4 linked regions of the Oryctolagus cuniculus genome follow. The main gene of each other region encodes a partner of the protein of the gene in region 2 in a complex. Links are inferred from orthologs where the notes say so. Each region holds a gene or a part of one and is shown on either strand. Other genes may lie near its edges.

What was found.
Region 1: the proteins of AGT (region 2) and ANPEP are in contact, whole or in part, in a crystal structure (PDB 4FYS), measured with the Homo sapiens proteins. The link is inferred for Oryctolagus cuniculus from reciprocal best matches to the Homo sapiens genes AGT and ANPEP. Residues at the interface, in NP_001369746.2 of Homo sapiens: Val27, Tyr28, Ile29, His30, Pro31, Phe32; in NP_001141.2 of Homo sapiens: Gln211, Gln213, Ala351, Gly352, Ala353, Met354, Glu355, Arg381, Val385, His388, Glu389, His392, Glu411, Glu418, Asn438, Arg442, Phe472, Tyr477, Ile864, Phe896, Ser897, Asn900, Gln903, Ala904, Arg907.
Region 3: the proteins of AGT (region 2) and REN are in contact, whole or in part, in a crystal structure (PDB 6I3F), measured with the Homo sapiens proteins. The link is inferred for Oryctolagus cuniculus from reciprocal best matches to the Homo sapiens genes AGT and REN. Residues at the interface, in NP_001369746.2 of Homo sapiens: Asp25, Tyr28, Ile29, His30, Pro31, Phe32, His33, Leu34, Val35, Ile36, His37, Asn38, Glu39, Lys91, Leu92, Ala95, Met96, Met99, Leu100, Phe103, Arg107, Arg148, Ala151, Ile152, Gly154, Gln353, Gln354, Asn355, Asn358, Glu391; in NP_000528.1 of Homo sapiens: Tyr81, Met82, Thr84, Gln85, Val102, Asp104, Gly106, Ser107, Asn109, Ser118, Arg119, Leu120, Tyr121, Thr122, Val125, Tyr126, Leu147, Arg148, Tyr149, Ser150, Pro181, Ala182, Leu183, Pro184, Met186, Leu187, Ala188, Glu189, Phe190, Val193.
Region 4: the proteins of AGT (region 2) and DPP3 are in contact, whole or in part, in a crystal structure (PDB 5E2Q), measured with the Homo sapiens proteins. The link is inferred for Oryctolagus cuniculus from reciprocal best matches to the Homo sapiens genes AGT and DPP3. Residues at the interface, in NP_001369746.2 of Homo sapiens: Asp25, Arg26, Val27, Tyr28, Ile29, His30, Pro31, Phe32; in NP_005691.2 of Homo sapiens: Phe109, Glu316, Tyr318, Glu329, Phe381, Gly385, Ile386, Pro387, Ala388, Gly389, Ile390, Asn391, Ile392, Asn394, Arg399, Val412, Leu413, Val415, Ala416, Phe443, Val447, His450, His455, Glu507, Glu508, Asn545, Arg548, Leu552, Glu555, Phe556.

The regions. Positions count from the first base shown.
Region 1 is NC_091443.1:99,843,729-99,848,369, forward strand, and holds part of ANPEP (aminopeptidase N), read right to left. Parts: intron 4,558-4,641; coding exon 4,414-4,557; intron 4,297-4,413; coding exon 4,231-4,296; intron 4,138-4,230; coding exon 4,072-4,137; intron 3,289-4,071; coding exon 3,113-3,288; intron 3,027-3,112; coding exon 2,947-3,026; intron 2,392-2,946; coding exon 2,255-2,391; intron 2,158-2,254; coding exon 2,102-2,157; intron 1,731-2,101; coding exon 1,583-1,730; intron 1-1,582. UniProt on the Homo sapiens protein: Broad specificity aminopeptidase which plays a role in the final digestion of peptides generated from hydrolysis of proteins by gastric and pancreatic proteases.
Region 2 is NC_091444.1:50,286,518-50,291,839, reverse strand, and holds the start of AGT (angiotensinogen), read left to right. Parts: upstream 1-1,914; 5' UTR 1,915-2,070; intron 2,071-2,799; exon of another isoform or gene 2,800-3,129; intron 3,130-3,992; exon of another isoform or gene 3,993-4,128; intron 4,129-4,590; 5' UTR 4,591-4,620; coding exon 4,621-5,322. UniProt on the Homo sapiens protein: Essential component of the renin-angiotensin system (RAS), a potent regulator of blood pressure, body fluid and electrolyte homeostasis.
Region 3 is NC_091444.1:19,655,110-19,660,451, forward strand, and holds the start of REN (renin), read right to left. Parts: upstream 3,433-5,342; 5' UTR 3,359-3,432; coding exon 3,279-3,358; intron 382-3,278; coding exon 231-381; intron 1-230. UniProt on the Homo sapiens protein: Renin is a highly specific endopeptidase, whose only known function is to generate angiotensin I from angiotensinogen in the plasma, initiating a cascade of reactions that produce an elevation of blood pressure and increased sodium retention by the kidney.
Region 4 is NC_091432.1:5,400,794-5,405,434, forward strand, and holds part of DPP3 (dipeptidyl peptidase 3), read right to left. Parts: intron 4,629-4,641; coding exon 4,498-4,628; intron 4,428-4,497; coding exon 4,369-4,427; intron 3,496-4,368; coding exon 3,301-3,495; intron 3,108-3,300; coding exon 2,995-3,107; intron 1,784-2,994; coding exon 1,691-1,783; intron 240-1,690; coding exon 177-239; intron 88-176; coding exon 1-87. UniProt on the Homo sapiens protein: Cleaves and degrades bioactive peptides, including angiotensin, Leu-enkephalin and Met-enkephalin. Also cleaves Arg-Arg-beta-naphthylamide (in vitro).

The sequences.
Region 1 (4,641 bases), on a different chromosome or scaffold from region 2:
CACCAGGGCTGAGAGGAGAGCCCGGCTGCTCGCGTGCAGAGCCCTCCTCTGGGAGAGGCCCCTGGCCGTGAACACCCGGGGAGGGGGGCACGATGTGCCTACCCAGAAGCCTCTAAGCCCAGTCGCCCTTTCTGGAAGCCGTGCTGCTCTTGAGAGAGAACCCCGGAGAGAGTTCCCTGGGCTTCAGAAACCACAAGGGGCCATGCAGGAGAGGGCACCCCCCGCCCCCCGGAAAAACCTCAAGCTCCCGGATGTCCCCTCCCGCACCTGTCAGTCACAGGTGGGCGGAACTCAGCTCTGTGGCTCAGCTGAGAATTGGGCTCAGTCACAATACCGCAGGGGCTCAGATCCGAGCGCGTGTGCAAAAGCTCACGGGACAGTGGGATGAAAAAGAGAAGTTCATTTTGGTGCAGAAATTTCCTTAAGTCATATATACAGGAGGTCTTTAAAAAGCTCAGGAAAAGGGGGAATTACGAAAAATGATGGCTCTTAACATCCTTTGCACCAAAATAAACTTATTTCATTCCATTTTCCTATGAGCTATGAGTCTTGAAAAAAACTATTTTATTTGAAACACACGCGCACACGCACAAACACACACACACACACAGACCTCCCATCCACTGGTTCACTCCCTAAATTCCCCTAATAGCTGGAGCTGAGCCAGGCCAAAGCCAGGAGTCTGGACTGCATCAGGGTCTCCCACATGGGTGGCAGGGACCCCAGCACTTGGGCCATCACCTGCTGCTTCCCCGGGGTGGGGCACCGCAGCAAGGAGCCGGACCCCCCCCCAGGCACTGGTGGGGAGTGCAGGTTTTGAAGTCCCCTCTCCTTTTATGATTTGAGTTCCTGGGGGGGGGGGGCGGAACGGCATCGGGGCAAGCAGGTCACAGACTTGGAACTTCCTCCACCAAAGCACCTCGCTCACCACGATTGGCTGTAGATCCTTAATTTTACTTTTTTTTTTTTTTCATAAAAAAATTACCTCCTCAAGCACGCTCTGATGGCCCCGTAACATCCCATCACACGGGGGTGCTACCTTAGCCTAACCAATCCCCAGCTGTTGGACACCCCAGTGTTTCCTGGGTTTCTTGTCTGTTTCATGTCTTTGTCAACAGCGCTGCCAGGAACACCCTACCCACTTAACCTCAGCCACAACAAGCTGGCTTCCCTCCCATAAAATTCATCCAGCGCCTCCCCCGGCAGGGAGGGGCCTGCTCCCTGGGCCGAGACGGGGAGGTGGCCAGGCCACACAGCTGTGCAAGGACAGGTCTTCTGTGGCCACCTCCCCTGCACAGGGGCCTTTTCTGGGCCTGCCCAAAGCATTCTCTTCCCGCATTTCAAAGTGGCAAACTCTGCCGCAAGCCGCAGGCGTGCCGTTCCGCCCCGCTCTGCATTAACCACTGCACCTGCTCAGTCCCGTCTCCCTCCACCTCTGCGACCTCTCCCTCCCGCCCCCCTCCATCAGGCCTGCGCTCAGGAAAGGACTTGACCAGGAAATCTTCCCGGCAGCTCCCGATGCTGGGCGCGTGGACACCCTGGGACCCCACCGGGCGGTGCCATACCTTCATGGGGCCCCTACCTTCATGGGGCCGTAGACCTCGGAGCGGTCGAACATGAGCTTGAAGTAGTTCAGGCTGCTCAGGGCCGCCTGCCAGGGCATGTACTCGGTCTCTCGGATCAGGAAGAGGGTGTTATCTAGCGCCAGTGTGACGGGGACTTTTTGGGCACTGGGAAAAAAAAAAAACAGAGGCGCTCAAGTAAGCACGGCCCCCAGCTCAGCCACAGCTGGAAACCCAGTCCAAGCTCTCAAGAATGGGCCTTCCAGGAGCCCGAGGTCCCAGCGAGCCAGCATTTGCCATGGGGAATGCAGCAACCAGGGCCCTCGCTCATTGTACCCATTTTACAGATGAGAAGACCGAGGCTCAAAGAAGTGACCTGACTGTCCCAAGGCCACTCAGCTCACAAGAAAAAGGCTCTGCTATGAACTCCACCCACCCCCTTTCACTTGCGAGCCGAGTGGCATCTGTGAAGTGGGTGTGCTGGGACCGAGGGAGGGAGCCCGGGGAGCCTGCTGCCCTGAGAGGGAACCTGCCGTCACCTGGCCAGGTTGAAGGCGTCGTGGATTATCTGCGCCCGGTTGATGACAGGGATGACCTGCAAGGGAAGCGGAGTGTGTGAGCTCGGGCTGGCCACGGGAGCAAGCGTGCGGCCCTGCAGTCCCGCGGCGCGTCCTGGCGCAGGGGCCACCCACCGAGGGGTTGGTCTGCAGCTGCGTCTGAAGCTTCTTCCAGTTGCCTTCATCGTAGTTCACCTGGTAATACCCCGTCACGTTGAGGTTCGCAAGGATCCAGTTGTTGTCGCCTTCCACTCTAAACAGGGAGTTCTGGGCTGTGGGAGGGACCAGAGCTTTGGAGCAAGGGGCTGCTCAGGCAGCCATGGCCTCCTCTCCGGGCTGCGTTAGCCTGGCTAATGCCCATTCTTCCTGACTAGCTCACCTCCTCCAGGAAGCCTTCCCTGACTACTCTGTGAAACGCAAGTTCCTTCATTCCCAGCCCCCTACCCCAGTAGCCCAATCACAGGCGCTGGATGCTGTTCACTGCTCTCTCCCTCCCTCTCACTGCCAGCCTGGGCCCAGACAGAGTTATTTGGCTGTGACCTTCACTCCCTCATGCCTGGCAGGGTGGGACTGTTGCAACCCTGTGCCAGCCTGTGCCTGAAGACTTTTCTATGGCTTCTCCCCTTTAACCCTCACCCAGCCCAGTGTTCTCAGCCCCATTTCACGGATGCTGACATGGCGAGCAGAGAGGGATGGTAGTTTGCCCAGGGTCACACAGCCGGGCAGCAGCAAAGCAGAGGCTGGGACCCTCCCCATGCCCGCACAGCCCCCAGCACGCAGCTGGGAGTGTGGGGCGAGCATCACCCATGAGCACAGGGTAGGGTTACTTTGCTCGACGCCTTCCAGCCAGAATTCCTGCTGCTGCATGCCGTTCCGCATGGACGAGACAGGAACAATCCACAGATAGCTGCAACCAGAGACCGGCAGCGGGCGGTGAGCGCCTGCCCACAGTCTCAGACACCAGGCTTGGCCCCCGGCACCCTGCATGCTCACTTGAAGTCTGACGGGCGAGTGACATTGGACGTGGGGTCCAAGAGGAAGTGATGCTGGGAGATGACCCCGTTGGTTGTGTTCACGGTGACGACCGGGAAGCCCATCTGCAGGATCCAGCGGTCCATGATGTCGCGCACAGAGGCGGGCAGCTGGATCGCCGACTGGCTGTTCACAGCCTGCAGCAGAGCAAAGTGCAAGGCTGTCCCCACCTGCCTGGGGCAGTCCCGGGGGTCCTGGTGGGGAGGCAGCAGCCAGGGTCCTGCTGCAGCTATGCAGGGAGCAGGCCTGAGGGAGGGAGGGGGCAGGGGAGGGGAGGCCGGGCTGGAGATGGCCAGGATGGACCCGGGGCCTGGACAAGACCCTGGCTGCCCCTTGCAGGTGGGACTGGCCATGGGGACTGGCAGGGCAGTGGCCACGGGGAGCAGGGAGTGGAAGGGGGCAGCTGGACTGGAATCTAGTGTTGTGGGGGATGGGTTCTTGCACTGAAAGAGGCCACGACCTCAGCTAAGGAGGCTGGTGTCGGATGGGGGGGCCCACAGGGGAGAGTGTGGACTCCAGCCCCAAGTGGGGCGGGGTCAGGCGGGGTGGCTGCAAGGGCAGACAGGCAGGCGGGTGGGCGTGGTGGGCAAAGGGTTTGGCCACAGACAGGAGCTGGATGGGGCACAGGGCAGCCAGGAGTGCTGAGTCGGGCAAAGACTGGCTCCAAAGTTCTGGGTAGGGGAGGAGGATCCAGGCTCAGGAAGCCCCGGGACTGTGTCCTCCCCACTAAGAGGAAGCTCCTGTCCCTGGAGCCATCAGCACACCCATTGCACAGACAAGCAACCAGGGCTCTCCGGGGCCTGCCCCAGCTGGAAACAGCAGAGCCCAGCACCTTCTCTTACCTGTGCTGCCCCCAGCACTCAGGACAGCCCCCTCACCGCACCCCCGGCTGAAGTCCTCGGGGGCTGGCTGTTACCCACCTGCTGCAGGTGCTCCCACAGGTCCAGGTAGATGGTGTTCTGGTACGCAAAAGTGTGCAGGTAGGACTGTGGGAAGACAGACCGTGTGAGTGCCAAGCTTGGGGTGGGCGGAGAGCCAAGAGAGCCACCCCCAGGTCTGGCCAGGGAATCTGTGCTCACCGCCAGGCCCTCCTTGAACAGGTCCTCGGTCAGGAAGCTGGACAGCATCCTAAGGACAGAGGCGCCCTGCGGAGGCAGCCAGGGAGGGGATGAGGAGGCTGTGGGAGGACCAGGGTGCTGTCCCGCCCGCTGTGCCCCATCTCCCTCCCCGAGCCCATGACCGTGGCAGGGCCGGGGCAGCACCTTGCTGTAGGTGATGGAGTCGAAGAGCTCGCTGATCTGGGCGGGTGTGTTGACCTCGTCGGCGGGGGAGGACAGAGGGTGGGAGGAGGCCAGGGCGTCCACGGCCATCACCGAGTGCAGTTCGTTCAGCACTATGAGGTCTTTCTGCACAATAATCCACCACCTCGGCCATCAGCAGTCTGGCCTGGCGGGTGGGCGTGGTTCCTCCACCTGCCGGCCCCAGCCCCC
Region 2 (5,322 bases):
CCCAAGCCCTTGGGCCCCTGCACCCGCATGGGAGACCTGGAAGAAGCTCCTGGCTCCTGGCTTCGGATCTGCGCAGCTCCAGCCGTTGCAACCGTCTGGGGAGTGAACCAGCAGATGGAAGACCTCTCTCTCTCTCTCTCTCTGCCTCTCTGCAACTCTGTCTTTCAAATAAATAAATAAATAATAAATAAAGGAGAGATCCAGCAGCACGTCACTCCCTCAGGCCACTGCCCAGACTCCTCAGTCCCTCCCTGGTGACATGGATTCCTCCTCCTGAGCATGAAGTCCAAGAGCTTCTGTTACCCAGTGCCAGCTGGCCTCCCTTCCTAGTCTGCTCACTTCTCACCCCTTGGATCTGGATGGTTGGCAGCTTTCCTCTTGTGTGTCCACTCCAGATCCCTGGAGGCTGGCCTGCAGCTCTGGGTCCCGGGCAGGAAAGACTGCGGTGACCACATAAGCTTTATCGTGGTCTGTGGCTGGCAGGTGCGGGCAGCAGCAGCAATTGGCCAGGCTGCGGTGACCACGGTTCTGCCTTCCAGCACCTGAGCCTGACTGTGTTCCCCAACCATCTGCGCGCTTTTCCACCTCTGTTCATGTCACAGCCAGCTCTTCTTTCAGAAAGCCTTCTTCAACCCACCGTGGCAGGCCTGACCCCAGCGCCACACGCCCGGGAACCTCCCACAGCTTTAACAGCCTGCACTACGCCACGTGCCAAAGGCATTTTGTCTGTGCCCTTCAGTCTGCTCGCACCACTCTTGGTATTTTACACTTTCCCCGGCTAAGGGAGGAGCTCTCGGAAGGTGCTTTTCACTCACTTGGGTGCATCTCCCAGAGCCTATAAGAGGCCCCTGCACTACATAGGTGCCTGAGTGGCCTTTTGGGGCTGCTCAAGGCCACACAGCCCACGAGCAGGCAGCAGGCGCAGGAGCAGCCCCAGGGATAGGCATTTGGCACAGTGGTTAAGCTGCCGCTAGTAACACTCGCATCCCATGGCGGAGTGCCTGGGTTCAGGTCCTGGCTCCGCTCTCCATTCCAGCTTCCTGCTAATGTGCACCCTGGGAGGCAGCGGCTGGGTTGCTGCCACCCATGTAGGAAACACACACTAAGTTCTTGGCTCCTCGGGCCGGCACCGCAGTTCACTAGGCTAATCCTCTGCTTGCGGTGCCGGTACCCCGGGTTCTAGTCCCGGTTGGGGCGCCAGATTCTGTCCTGGTTGCTCCTCTTCCAGTCCAGCTCTCTGCTGTGGCCCGGGAAGGCAGTAGAGGATGGCCCACGTGCTTGAGCCCTGCACCTGCATGGGAGACCAGGAGAAGCACCTGGCTCCTGGCTTCGGATCGGTGCGGTGCACCAGCCATGGTGGCCATTTGAGGGGTGAACCAACGGAAGCAAGACCTTTCTCTCTGTATCTCTCTCTCACTGTCTAACTCTGCTTGTTAAAACAAATACACAAACAAAAAAAACAAATAAGTTCTCGGCTCCTGGCTTTGGTCTGACCAGCCCTGGCTGTTACACACACTAGTGGAGTATACCAACAGATGTGAGATATCTCCCCATCTGTTTCTGTATGTCTCCCTTTCTCTGTATCTCTGCCTTTCATATACAATGAAAGTAAACTGATTTTTTTTTAACAGAAAGAAGCAGCTGTTGGGTCCCCTGAGTACAGCTCTTCTCCCTGCCTAGTCCCCACCCCCACCGCTGCAGGTCCTGTGGTCTCACAGAAGCACATCCCAGGGGAGGCTCCTGCACCTGGTAAGAGACAGCTCCTGTGAAGTCCAGTAAATGGGTAACTCAGCGCTGTCCCAGCTCATTCTGTGCAGCAGGGCAACAGCATCGATCACTAGAACTTCCTGGAAACCGCCCAGTGTGAGAGTCATGGCCAGGCTTGGCTGCCTGTGGCTCCCACCCCCACCCCCACCCCAGCAGGCTGGCCAAGTGGTGCAATCCCCTCTCCAGCCTGCACACGGAGCAGCCTGGGAACTGCTCCATGTCCGCCCCTCGGGTATAAAGAGGGCCTCCTGGGAGGCCAGCCGGGAGAAGAGGCTGGGCTGGCTCTGGGGACGGACGCAGCAGGTAAGCCAGGGCCCTCTCAGCCAGGGTAGCTAAAATGGCCTTCGGGACCCAGGAAGGGACACAGGTGATGGTGCCTCATCATAAGACAGACACCCAGACATGGGCCACCTGTCCCTCAGCTGCCATGCTGGGTGTCACCAGAGGATGGAAAGGGCAGGGTGGCCGGGTCCTCCTGCTTCCTCTGAGCATTGCTGGGGTCCTCGGGGGTGGAGGGCACAGACACAGCCCCAGAGTCACTGTGGCCAAGAGTCTACCAGGTTCTCTCCCCACGCGGGTGAAGAGCAAGGCTGCCCTCGAGTGTGCACCCGCGGGTGCACAAAACAGAACGTGATGTACATAGGAGCACAATAGAAATAAGAAAACAGATCAAAGCACAGAATGGGGTAAACACAAGGGAGCTGGGGAGCCTGCCTGGGGGACAGCAGTGCAGGAGGGAGAGGAATTCAGAGAAGCGCAGGTGAGCGGTGTCCTTGTGAGCACTTGGCCACGGGCTGCAGAAGAGGTCTCCAGGCTGGTGAAGAGGCAGGGCCAGGAGGGGTGAGGTTGGGGGTGAAGGAGCCCAGGGAGGGGGCGTCAGCCCGCCACGTCCGAGCGCCCCTCTGTCCTCACTTAGCCCAGCTCGCAGATCACAGGAGGCAGCAAACAACCACCTCTGCCTTGAGAGCCGTAGAATTTTCTATCGTTTCTGCTTGGGTTCAGGAGCAGCAGAAGAGGAGGGGCTGCACTTACCCTTGTAAGTGCAAGGCAGGGTGGGTCCCCAGGGGTTCTCCTGTCCGTTGGATTCAGTTTCGTGTCTGGATTGGGAAGGAACTGGCAATGTGGGCTCACAGGAAGGCCTGCAAGAAGGGGGCAGAGTCTTGGGTCCCATTTGTCCTCGCTGTGTGGCTTTTTGCGGGAACTGTCAACAAAGTCAAATGCAGAGGAGGAGGGGGAGGTGGTGGCTGAGGTCAGGGGTCAAAGTTCCCGTGGTGATCGGATGACTAGAGCAGAACCAAAGACAGCACACACCTTAGTTGAACGTGCTGTGCTGAGGGCAGCGCATCCCAGCAGAGGAGCAAGGTAAGACGGCGGCCCAGAACGCACAGGTGAGGCAGGGAAATTGTCCAGGATGTGACTGCCCACAGCCCTGCAGGCGCCGAGGGGGCGGGGCGAGTGAGGCCCAAGCAGTGACATGGCTGTACGGGATACCCCTACTGCCAGAAATGGGCGAGATGCAGTAGAAACCGTGGGAACTGGATGAACCAATAGAACTTGCTTGCCTTTGATAGAGAACAGTCAGGCCAAATAAATTAGCAGGCCAGCCCCAGACCTCCTTGTCCAGGATCTCAGGCTAGCTCCTTTGTGCTCTGGTGGGCATTTGGTGAGAGAAGGGGGACGGAGCACCTGTGGGGTTCAAACCCTGGCTACGCATCAGTCAATGAGCAGTTAGGAAAAATCCTGTACCCAGCCCCAGCTCAGACCCACGAGGCAGACTCCTGGTGAATGGGGCTGGAGCGCTGTGGGGGGTAACGTGACGCAGGCACAGCTGAGAGCTTGTTTCGGGGCTGAGACAGGTGGGCAATGCCTGGCTTCAGCTGAACTTGGGCTGCTTAATTCTTTTTCATGTTAGGACCACAGGGAAACTAAACCCTCCTTCCCAGGCCACACCACAAGGCCATTTGGAGCCAGGAGGCTCCACAGAGACTGCCTGGCTGGCACATACTTGATTCTTTTTTTTTTTTTTTTTTTTTAGCATTTTGTGATGGTTTTATTGGGGTGAAGACACAGGGCGTGAAAGGGTACCCTTGGCAGGTGCGGGGAAATTTTTTTTTTACACACTTGATTCTTTAGAGCAGACTTCTGGCCACAGGCAAGCGTGTGTTTCAACTGAGCTGCCTGGGCAGCTTCGACGAGACACAGTTCTTTGTTCACAGTTCCGGAGGCTGGAAGCCTCAAGAGCACAGCTGTGCCCTGAGATCTGTCTCCTTGGCTAGCTGACGGCCGTCTTCTCCCTGCCTCCGCATTCTTCCCTCTGTGTGCCTCTGTACTGGTTTGCCACCTCTTCCCACAGGATCACCGGTGAGCCCGGGTCAGGGCCCAGCCTGTGCCTCATTTTCCCTTCATCACCTCTGTTAGACCCTGTCTCCAAACATAGTCCCAGGCTGCAGGGCTGTGGGTTAGGCCTTCAACAGAGACTATGGGGGACACAACTCAGGCTCCCTGCTGCCCCCGCCCAGCTCACAGATCACACGAGGCAGCAAACAACCACCTCTGCCTTGAGACCCATAGCATTGTTCCCGGGGGACCCACACCAGGGTCTGTGTGCAGGAGCGGCCGAGGAGGAGGGGCTGCACTTGGAGTACGTGAATGTTTTCCAAGGAGCTCTGCTCTTGCTTCTTCTCTCCTTTCATTGCAGACACAGGTGGGTTTCTCCCAGGCTAAATAGTTGCAGGAAACAGTGCGACAACTCAAAGTCTGGCTAGAGGACACTTAATGACGGCTTAATAATCACCTTTCACCCTTCACCAAATGATATTTCAGGCTACACAGAAGCGGGCACCTTGATCGGAGATGACTCCTGCCGGCATGGGCCTGGGAGCCACCATCGTTTGCCTCTTGGCCTGGGCTGGCCTGGCCGCGGGTGACCGGGTGTACATCCACCCCTTCCACCTCCTCTTCTACAGCAAGACCAGCTGTGAGCAGCTGGAGAAAGCCGACGTGGAGACGCCCAAAGAGCCGACCTTCACACCCGTCCCCATTCAGGCCAAGACGTCCCCCGTGGATGAGGCAGCCCTGCACGACCAGCTGGTGCTGGCCGCCGAGAAGCTGGGGGATGAAGACAGGCTGCGAGCTGCGAAGGTCGGGATGCTGGTGGACGTCCTGGGCCTGCGCATGTACAGGACCCTGAGCGAGACGTGGAGTGACCCCAGCGGGGCTGTCCTCTCCCCGGTGGCTCTCTTCGGCACTCTGGCCTCTTTCTACCTGGGAGCCTCAGACTCCACGGCCACCCAGCTGCAGGCATTCCTGGGCGTCCCTGGGGAGGACCAGGGCTGCACCTCCCGGCTGGATGGGCACAAGGTCCTGTCGGCCCTGCAGACCATCCAGAGCCTGCTCGTAGCCCAGGGCGGGCCGGGCAGCCAGGCCCCACTGCTGCTGTCCACGGTGCTGGGCCTGTTCACGGCCCCCGGCCTGCGCCTGAGGCAGCCATTTATGCAGAGCCTGGCTCCCTTTACTCCTATCATCCTCGCGCGCTCTCTGGACCTGGCCGCGGAC
Region 3 (5,342 bases), about 31 Mb from region 2:
CCAGCTGGAGCCTGGGCTGGGTGCTAGCCTAAGCCTCCTGGCCCTCTGTGCCTCGGGCTCCCCAGCTGTTAAATGGGAATTCCGTGGGGTGCTTCGGTGGAACCCAATTCCTCGGCTCCTCGGTGAAACGCAGCTTGGGAAGAGTGGGCCTTGCTGGCAAAGGAAACCTTGGGGCCAAGAGAGAAGGGGACTTGGGGGTAGGGGTGGGACCCGGCGGGACAGGCACTCACGTCCAGGTAGTTGGTGAGGACCACAGGGGTGGTGCCATTGGCCAGGGAGAGCCTCTTGGTGAACCGGCTCCACTCGGCACCCAGCCTGGCCATGTCCACACCTCGCTCCTGCAGGATGTCCCGGACTGAGGGCATTTTCTTGAGGAGGATCCTGGCCCAGGGAGGAGGAAGCAGAAACAGAACTCTGTACTGGCCCCCGGGACTGCCGCAGTCTCAGCCCACCGCGGACCTCAGCCTGGGCGCCATGGGGTCACGTCCCAGCCTAGGGCCTTCTGTGAGCCACCGGTCCTGGTGCTAGATAATCCTTGGCTAACCTCTCCCTGTTGTCTAAATTTGATTAGATGAGGCCATCTGTGTGATGGCCCATTTATTTGCTCACTCATCCCATAATCACGCATTGAACACCTGCTCTGAGCCGCATTATGCAGGGTCCTGGAGATAGGTAAAGATCCTTGCTGCCTTCAAGGAAGCCCACCAGGCAGGAGACAGACAAGGAAACAGGCAGCCACAGCTCGCCATTCCCGCTGGGGCCAGCATCCCTCAAGCCGAAAGGAGGGAGGCAGTGCCATGTGTGGCCTCTAGGTGGCAGCAGATACACAAAGCACTCTGCAGGGTCGGTAGGACACCTGGGAGCTGGCACCCAGACGGGCTGGAGTGGAGCAGACCCACAGCATCAGGCCAGGCAGGGTGCCCGTGCACCTTGTCCTCGGGAAGATGTGTCTTGGGCCTAAGTCTCTGTCCCTGGGCTTCTTGTCCAGACACCTCCCCATCCCCTTTGGGAGGCAGTTAGAGACTTAGGGGTCTGGAGCATGGTGAGCTGGTGCCAGATAGGGATGTAGAACTGTGCACACTCACCCAGGCCAGCCACACAGCAGCAGCTCTGCAAACTAGCGTCCTTATCCCATGCTCTACGGGAGGAGACTCAGGAACAGGGGAGCAGGGGGCTGACGCACGTGGCTGGCTATCTTTCCCAGAGGATCCCCCGGGGTGCGGACGTGGAGGCTGCTTGCCAAAGCCTGGAGGAAGCCATCTCCAGCCTTGGCCAGGAGGTCCCAGGACTGAATCCCCACTTAACCTGGCAGTAGATTTTCCTATACACAGAGTCCCTCCTCCTTTGGCGGGTGCACCCTGCACTCACGTCTCCTGCCCCCGCCGCGCCGGCCCATGAACGTGAGTGCCGCCTGCGTGCCTATCCCCAGAGGTTGTGCTGGAACTGTCCTCTCACGGTGTACAGGTCACGAGCTGGCTTCACAGGTGGCGTTTCCTTTGATCCTCACTCATCCCATGGGGTGGGTGATTTTATTAAGCCCAGAAGAGGCTCTGACTCCACTCCAAACATCCTCTGCTGAGCGCCTTGGCTTTGCTGCCACTCCCCTTTCGGGAAACCCCTTCTGTCTCCCAGTTCTTCACTCTTCAAAGTTCAGCACACACCCCTGCCTCCGGAACCTTGCTGGGGCCGGCACTGTGGCCCAGCAGGTTAAGCACCGCCCTTTGATGCTGGCATCCCGTACAGGTGCCGATTCGAGTCCCGGCTGCTCCACTTCCAATCCAGCTCCCTGCTAGTGTGACTAGGAAGGTAGTAGAAGATGGCCCAAGCCCTTGGGCTCCTGCACCCATGTGGGAGACCTAGAAGCTTGCCCCCAAAGACTCGGTCCACACTGGTGTTCCCCACCAGCCCAGGGAGGCAGTGCCATATGGTGGGGAAGCACACAGAGCTTGAAACCCCTGTGTGACTCTAAGCAAGCTGCCTAACCTCTCTGGGCCTTTTAAGACCCTCATTTGCTTCCCTATGAAAATGGGTCTAACGGTGGTGTCTACCCCAGCACAACTCTGCAGCCCAAGCCCGCTGCCCCCTGCGCAGTCCCTGTGAGTCCTGGGGTGTATGGCAGCGACAGCACCTTGAGAACGCAGCACATCGATTCAGACCTCCCCAAGTGCCTTCTCCACTCTGCACAGGGCGGGCAGCACAATTCCTCCAGCTGCAGGCAGGCACTGTGGCACAGCGGGTTAAGCCAGCCCTTGGGATGCCTAAGTTCCCTATTGAAGTGCAGGTTCAAGTCCCAGCTGCTCTGCTTTCGATCCAACTCCATGCTAATGGCCTGGAAGGCAGCAGATGATGGCCCAAGTCCTTGGGCTCCTGCTGCCCATCTGGGAGTCCCGGATAGAGTTTCTAGCTTCAGCCTGGCCCAGCCCTGACTCCATGGGCATTTGAGGGGTGAACCAGTGGATGAAAGATCTCTCTCTTCTCTCTCTCCTCCCATCACCTTGCCTTTCAAAATAGATTTTTTTTTAAAAAAGATCTATTTATTTACTTGAGAGGCAGAGTTACAGAAAGAGAGAAGGAGACAGAGAGGGGGTCTTCCATCTGCTGGTTCACTCCCCAAATGGCCACAATAGCCAGAGCTGGCAGATCCGAAGCCAGGAGCTTCTTCAGGTCTCCCACATGGGTGCAGGGGCCCAAGGACTTGGGCCATCTTCCACTGCCTTCCCCAGGCCATTAACAGGGAGCTGGAATCAGAAGTAGAGCAGCCGGGACTCAAACTGGTGCCCATATGGGATGCTGGCAACTCAGGAAGGTGCTTCGCCTGCTATGCCACAGTGCTGGCCCCTAAATATAAATTTTAAAAATGGCAAACGGAGACTTGACGAGGTTAAGTAGCATGTGCAGGGTTCCAGAGGTAGAGCAGAATTTGAACCAGATGGGCCACCTTTGCAAGGTGTGCATTTAGCCTGCTTCCCTGGCAGAGTTTACACTACCCATCCCTCACGCCCTTCCTAACACCAGGCTGTGAGCTCGGGGGTGGGGGAGGGCCAGAAACACATCTCAATCATCTCTGAGCTCCGCCCCACTCCCCCGTGCCCCAGGTAGGGTCCAGAAGGCATGGCTGCCGAGCTGTGTGACACTGGGCAAGCTGCTTGCCCTCTCTGAACAGGACTACACCTCCTTGCCCAGCTGGTCATGAGGACGAATCGGCACCACATAGCTGACCGGGTGCCAGGAAGGTGGGAGCCTCCAAGTCCCTGCCGCCCCTTCCCTGCCCGAGTTACCTTCTGAAGGCGCTGGTGTCGGCGGGGAGACCCAAGGTGCAGGAGCCCCAGAGTACCAGCAGGAGTCCCCAGCGAGGCATTCTGCTCCCGGGGCCGAGCTCGCTCACGCTGGCTCCACTGCAGCCTGGGGCTCCCTGGTCCTTCTTCCTTTATACACCGGCACGAGGCATGCTCACCGTCCCGCAGGGTCCTGATTTATTGCACGGGGCCAGAGGCGCGGCAGCCACTCGTAAATCCCACCCGGGGGGACCAGGCTTCCTGGACGTGGAGCAGGGCTCTGTGCCCAGTGACGCCAGTGGCTCCTCGCCTGGCCTGGCCCCGCGACCCCCGGCGGGGGTGGAGGCTGATGAGCAAACCGTGCTCAGGGATCGGCCTGGGCTGGGCTGGGCAGAGAACTTGGTTCCCAGCTCCCAGCCCCCATGGCCCTGGGGCTCCCTCGTCAGCCTCAGCCCAGCTTTGCCCCCGCCTCTTACCTGGTCTTCCCATCTGGAACATGAGGGAAGCTTCCTGGCTTGGTCCTTGGTGTGTGTGGGGGATCCTGTACCTGGCGGGGAGTCTGCCTGCCCTACCCATGCAGGAGGCTGAGAGGCATGGCACACCATGCCTGCCGGGAGGGCCCCCACAACCTGACTGCTGGCTGGCAGGCGGTGGGAGCCCCAGGCACTCCCCCCACTCCCTGTAGGGTCCTGTAATTGCCAATCAAGTAAACAGCTCCTGGGTGCGGCCCGGGCCCATTAGGACCACCTGGAAAGCTATCCCAGCTACGAGACCCTCAAGCCGATTGGAGAAGCATAGAGGTGCCCATGTCGGTTCTCTCCTATAGAACTAGTGTTGCCCTGAATTAGTTACGCCCCTTCTGCCTGCCCTTTAAAAGGTGTGCATGGTCGTTAATACAGAGGATGAGTTCACCGACACTTGTCTCCGGTGCTTCTTGCCGAAGATTGCCGTCGCTCCACCATCCTGGCGGTGTGGGGGTCCCGCGGGTCAAGCCCGCAGACTGGGAAGCAGGGGCCGGGGGAGGGCGGCCCTTGCGCCCTGGGGGGCTCCTGCAGAGGAGGGGGCGCAGCCGCCTTCCCACCCCTCCACCCCCTTCTGCGTGGCCCGGGTTCCGTTTGGGCCGAGTCTGCGTCCTTCCCCCTTCCCTGTAGCTTGCCCAGCAGTCAGGCGGTGCCCACACACCTGGCCCCTAAGTGCCAGGACGGGTGTGGTTTATTCAGCTTCTCTCTGATTTCAGGGCCGTCCTCCTCCATGGGGCAGGCCTAGACTCAGCCCAGACTCAGCCGGGGATGGGCTGCCTTCGTGCCGTGAAGAGCATGAGCCATCACCTGCTGCCTCCCAGGTGCATCAGCAGGAAGCCAGATCTGCAGCAGAGGTGGAACTCAACCCCAAGCACTCCCAGGAGTCATAGCGCAGCGCATCACCACGGCCAACCCTTGGTGCTCTGTAAATCCTCGTTCACTGAGCATTTGTGCTTTGCCAGATGCTGGGCTTACAAAGGTGACAAAAATGCATACACCTCTGCTCCTGTGCACCCACATTCTAGGAAAATAGACCGCTACCATCACACGCTGACATACACAGTGATGATAGCTAGTGCCGGCAGTGACCTCCAGGAAGGTCTCCCCTAGGAAATCACCCCTGAGTGGGCACCTTCAGCCCACCGCCCCGCCTCCAGGTCTGCGGCTGACAGGTGCTCCCATCCATGGTTTCACAGCGGTCCAAGCAGACAAAGACAGCAAGGAAGGACAGGACAGTCGAACTGCCTTTCAAATTGCTTTTGCATCCAACTTTGAACCCATCTTTAATTCCTTTCCCATGAATGGTTTGACAACCCCTCAAATAGCAAAGGCAGCTCTTTGGAAGAAGTTGGGCCGTAGGGAAGGAGATTGAGAGCTGGAAATGTGAGTGAGGACTGAGAGAGGAGTCTCTCCACCCCCCCCCCTTCCTTCTGCCCTTCTTTTCTTTTTTTTTTTTATGATTTATTTATTTGAAGTCAGAGTTACACACAGAGAAAAGGAGGGGCAGAGAGAGAGAGGTCTTCCATCTGCTGGTTCACTCCCAAAT
Region 4 (4,641 bases), on a different chromosome or scaffold from region 2:
GCTCTCGGCCCGGCACTCTTCGTAGCTGGAGGCGATGTTGCTGAACTTGCTGTCCCAGGTCTCCCCGCTGCGGTACCAGCTCTGGATCTGGGAGAAGAGGCCCGGGAAGCAGGCTTAGGGGCAAGCGTGGCCCTGGCCCCACCACGCCCACCTCCCAACACCCTGGCCGCCCTCACCTGCTCCCCTGTCTCGGGGTTGATCACTGTCTCCCGGTCAAAGTTCAGTGCCCCCTTCTCATCCTGCAGAAGGGACACGTACGGGGGGTGAGTGAGAGAAAGGGGCCCCAGCACAGTCCAGGCATTCAGCCCTGACAGCCTGGGTCCGAGAAGCGGCTCGGGAAGGGGGGGCCAGGAGCAGCGAGCAGACAGATGCTCGCAAACCTGAGTCCTGTGGAGTGGAAGAGCCAGCTACCTGTCCACAGCACAGAGGGAAACGGATGGCCAGACAGGGAGGGAGCTGCCTGAGTCACCCCCAGACCCAAACCTGGCCAGGCATTCGGCATAGCAGTCAAGATGCCCTGTGGGACACCCACTCCCACAATGGAGTGCCCGGTTCAAGCCCCGGCTCTGCCTCCAAGTGCAGCTTCCCACTAATGGGCACGCTGGGAAGGAGCAAGTGGTGGCTCAAATACGTGGGCCCCTGCCAACCCACGTGGGAGACCTGGATTGGGTTCCAGGCTCCTGGCTTTGGCCCAGCCCAGCCCTGGCCGTTGCAGGCATTTGGAGAGTGAACCAGAGACAGAAGGCTATGAACCAGAAGATGGGAGGTCTCTCTCTCCTGGCTGCTCCCCGGCACTGCTGGAAGAGGCCTCAGACCCGCAGACCGGCCGCGCGCCTGGCACCTTCACCCGTCACCCATTTAATCCTCACAACCACCCTCCAGGGAAGGCTGTTATTCTCCCACTTCTCTGATGAAGAAACTGAGGCTCGGACGCTGAGAGCCCCCAGACGCCATGCACAGCGTCTCCAACACGGACAGCCATGTGCAGGGGGCCTGCTGTGTGCCAGGGCTCACTACCCGCCCACCTTGGCTGTCCAGCCTCGACAGGCCACGGGCAGAAGGGCCAGGAACCCTGTTTTACTGGGGCCTAGGACAGGAACGGCCTTTCCCAAGGCCACAGGCTGGACAAGCGCCCCCTGACTTTCCCAGCCAGCTCCCCCGTCCAGGGACGCAGCCTGTCTCCCGGAGGGCCCACGCCGAAGCCGGCCGTCGCCGCGCTGCCCCGTTTCGTCTCCTCTGTGCAGCTCCACTCGGCCTGCTGCTCCCGAGTGGTGTTCAAAGGGCTCCGGGTGCTCAGGCCAGCCAGCAGGAAGCGGCTGCTCTGGGGGAGGTGGCTCCCTAGGGTATCCAAAACCTCTGTGGCCCAGGGGGACAGCAGTGGCGGGCAGCCGGGGCCGCAGCCTCAGGACGGGAGCATCCAGGGCCTGCCTCTTCGCAGCCTGCACCCCGGGGCTGCTGCAGCCTGAGCAGAGCGACCCTGGCGCAGGCTGAGCTGCCCCCAGGCTGCCCCCGTGCACCCACGGAGTCGTCCGAGCCCTGGGACGTCGCGGGGGAGGGCAGGGCGGGGTCTTCCCTGCTTCAGGGGTCATTTCTCCACCAACCCAAAGCCCCCAGAGGGCAGACCCGGAGCAGCTCCACCCTGGGTGGGGGGGGGGGGCAGGGGAAGGCCCGCGCGGGCGCTGCCTCTTACCTGCACAAAGAGCTTGCCGCTGCCGTGGCCCAGCAGCTCGTGCAACCCCACCTGCACGTCGAAGGAGGGCCCCTTCCAGCGGAGGTACAGGTCCTGCCGAGACATGCAGGGGCCCGCTGTCTGCCGTCCCACCACGGCCACTCAGCCCGGACCCGGGGCCCGACACGGCGCGCCTGCCTGGGGCAGGCCCCCCATCCCAGCCGCCACTGGGGAGGGACGCGGGAGGGACCGCCTCCTTTGTGTGACCAGCGGGGAAACTGAGGCTCCAAAGTGGCACACGGTCCCGCGGGATAGTGGTGCGGCAGGAACCGAAGCTGCGCTTGCTCCTCCTGAAGGTTCCGGGCCGTCCACCCTGAGGCCTGACCCTGACCCTGGCCCAGCCCTGAACCTGACCCTGGCCCTGCCCTGACCCTGGTCCAGCCCTGACCCTGAGGCCAGCCTGGCCCAGCCCTGAACCTGACCCTGGCCCTGCCCTGACCCTGAGGCCAGCCTGGCCCAGCCCTGACCCTGACCCTGGCCCTGCCCTGACCCTGACCCTGACCCTGAGGCCAGCCTGACCCAGCCCTGACCCTGGCCCAGCCCTGACCCTGGCCCTGGCCCAGCCCTGACCCTGGCCCAGCCCTAACCCTGGCCCTGGCCAAGCCCTGACCCTGACCCTGGCCCTGGCCCAGCCTTAACCCTGACCCTGGCCCTGGCCCAGCCCTGACCCTGGCCCTGGCCAGCCCTGGCCCTGGCCCTGGCCCGGCCCTGGCCCAGCCCTGACCCTGGCCCAGCCCTGACCCTGGCCCTGGCCTAGCCCTGACCCTGGCCCAGCCCTGACCCTGGTCCAGCCCTGACTCTGGCCCTGGCCCAGCCTGACCCTGACCCTGACCCTGAGGCCAGCCTGACCCAGCCCTGACCCTGGCCCAGCCCTGACCCTGGCCCTGGCCCAGCCCTGACCCTGGCCCAGCCCTAACCCTGGCCCTGGCCAAGCCCTGACCCTGACCCTGGCCCTGGCCCAGCCTTGACTCTGACCCTGGCCCAGCCCTGACCCTGGCACAGCCCTGACCCTGGCCCTGGCCCAGCCCTGACCCTGGCCCAGCCCTGACCCTGGCCCTGGCACAGCCCTGACCCTGGTCCAGCCCTGACTCTGGCCCTGGCCCAGCCTGACCCTGGCACAGCCTGACCCTGGCCCAGCCCTGACCCTGGTCCAGCCCTGACCCTGGCCCTGGCCCAGCCCTGACCCTGACCCTGGCCCAGCCCTGACCCTGGCCCTGGCCCAGCCTGACCCTGGCCCTGGCCCAGCCTGACCCTGGCGTGCCCACCTTGTCGTCCTCCTCCAGGAAGGTGAGCTTCTCCCGCTGCGTGGTGTAGGCCACGGCCAGCACGTTCCCCAGTGACACGTTCTTGAAGCCTTCGGTCTGTCTCAGGTCATCGTCTGGAGAACACAGGGAGTGTGACCAAGGGTGAAGGGGCAGAGGTCAAGGGTCACAAACAAGAGAAAGGGCTGGCAGGACGCACTGAGCAGGGTGGTTTGCGGCCAGGGTATCCGTCGGAGAGGGGCAGTTCCCAGTGGTGCCCCGCCCCCACCCTCCCACCGCCCGGGCTCGGGAAATGCTGGGGGAGCTCACAGTTGGGGATGTTGATGCCGGCAGGGATGCCGGAGCCGGCGAAGGTGAGGACATCCAGGGAGGTGAAGTCAGGGGTGAGGAACTTGTCCTTCTCGAAGGCGGGCGGCCAGGGCAGCTCCTTCAGCAGCTGCTCGGCGCTGGCCACCAGCCGCTCGAATTTGGCACTCATGGCCTTGTTCACCATGGCCACGAAGCCTGCAGGGGAGGCGGGAGCTGTGGCTTGGCAGGGTGAAGGGAGGGTCCCGCCTCACCCTGCTCAACCCCGCTAACCATCACGCATGTGTTCAATGCCTGCTGGGAGCAGTGACCCTGTGCTGGGTCAGACAGCAATGACCCAAGCCCGGGTCCTGCTGGATCAGGCCCTGGGCAGGAAAGCTGCAGGTGGATGGCCCTCCCTCCCTCGGGCCCCTGGGCCTGGTCTGAGGGCTGGGATTCCTCTCCCAGGCCCACCTCTTCAGCCTGGGCAGCCAGAAGCTCACAATGCATCCATGGTGGGACAAGGCAAGGGTGTGTGGAGACAAACTGACTGCACACGATGGGCCCCCTGCCTCGCACAACTGGGTCCCACAGGACGTGGGGACCGAGGGACAGGGGTCAGGCAGCCTGCCACCAGGGACGGGATGACTAGCCACAGCCATGGCATCAATCACACGTCCAGCCACTGAGCGTCGGTGACTGCATCTCACTTCACCTCAGAGCTAGGGCTACTTGGCCTGGGGCCACACACCCACGGGGCAAGGCCTGGCTGGGAACCTGCGTCCGTGTGCGGCGAGTCTGGGCCCTGACCACACGGACACCAGAGGCAGCACAGCACAGTGGCTCAGGGCCGGGGCGCTGGGGCTCCGCCACCTGCCACTTGCGCCCCAGCTCCCACGCCTGCAGAGGTCAGCTTTGCGAGACTGTACCTGGGACACCGACGTGGCTCGTAAAGTCAACAACATCTGCCACGCCTGTTGCTGTGACAATTACTGCCCGGGGAAGGGGGTCGGGGAGCCCTCAGGGGATTCTGGGAGCCTGAGCTCAGACAGGAACAAAAGGAATCTGAGCCCCGCTCCCCGCAAAAGTTACCTTCAAACTCTCCTCGGGAACCAAAGGGGTCGCGGTAGCTCTCGATGAACCCGATGTAACTGGGGGAGAGAAGGGCCCAGATGCAGCAGGGGCGGGCGGGGCGGGCGGGGCGGGAGGCGGGGGCCTCACCTCTCCACGATGGGGCCTTTGTCCTGGATCCAGAAGCGGGAGCCCCTCTTGTGGGCCTCGATGGAGCCCTGGGTGAAGCTTTCCACGTACTGGGCCAGCATCTGCTCCTGGTGGCTGTTGGCTGCATACGCCTGGGGGTGAGCC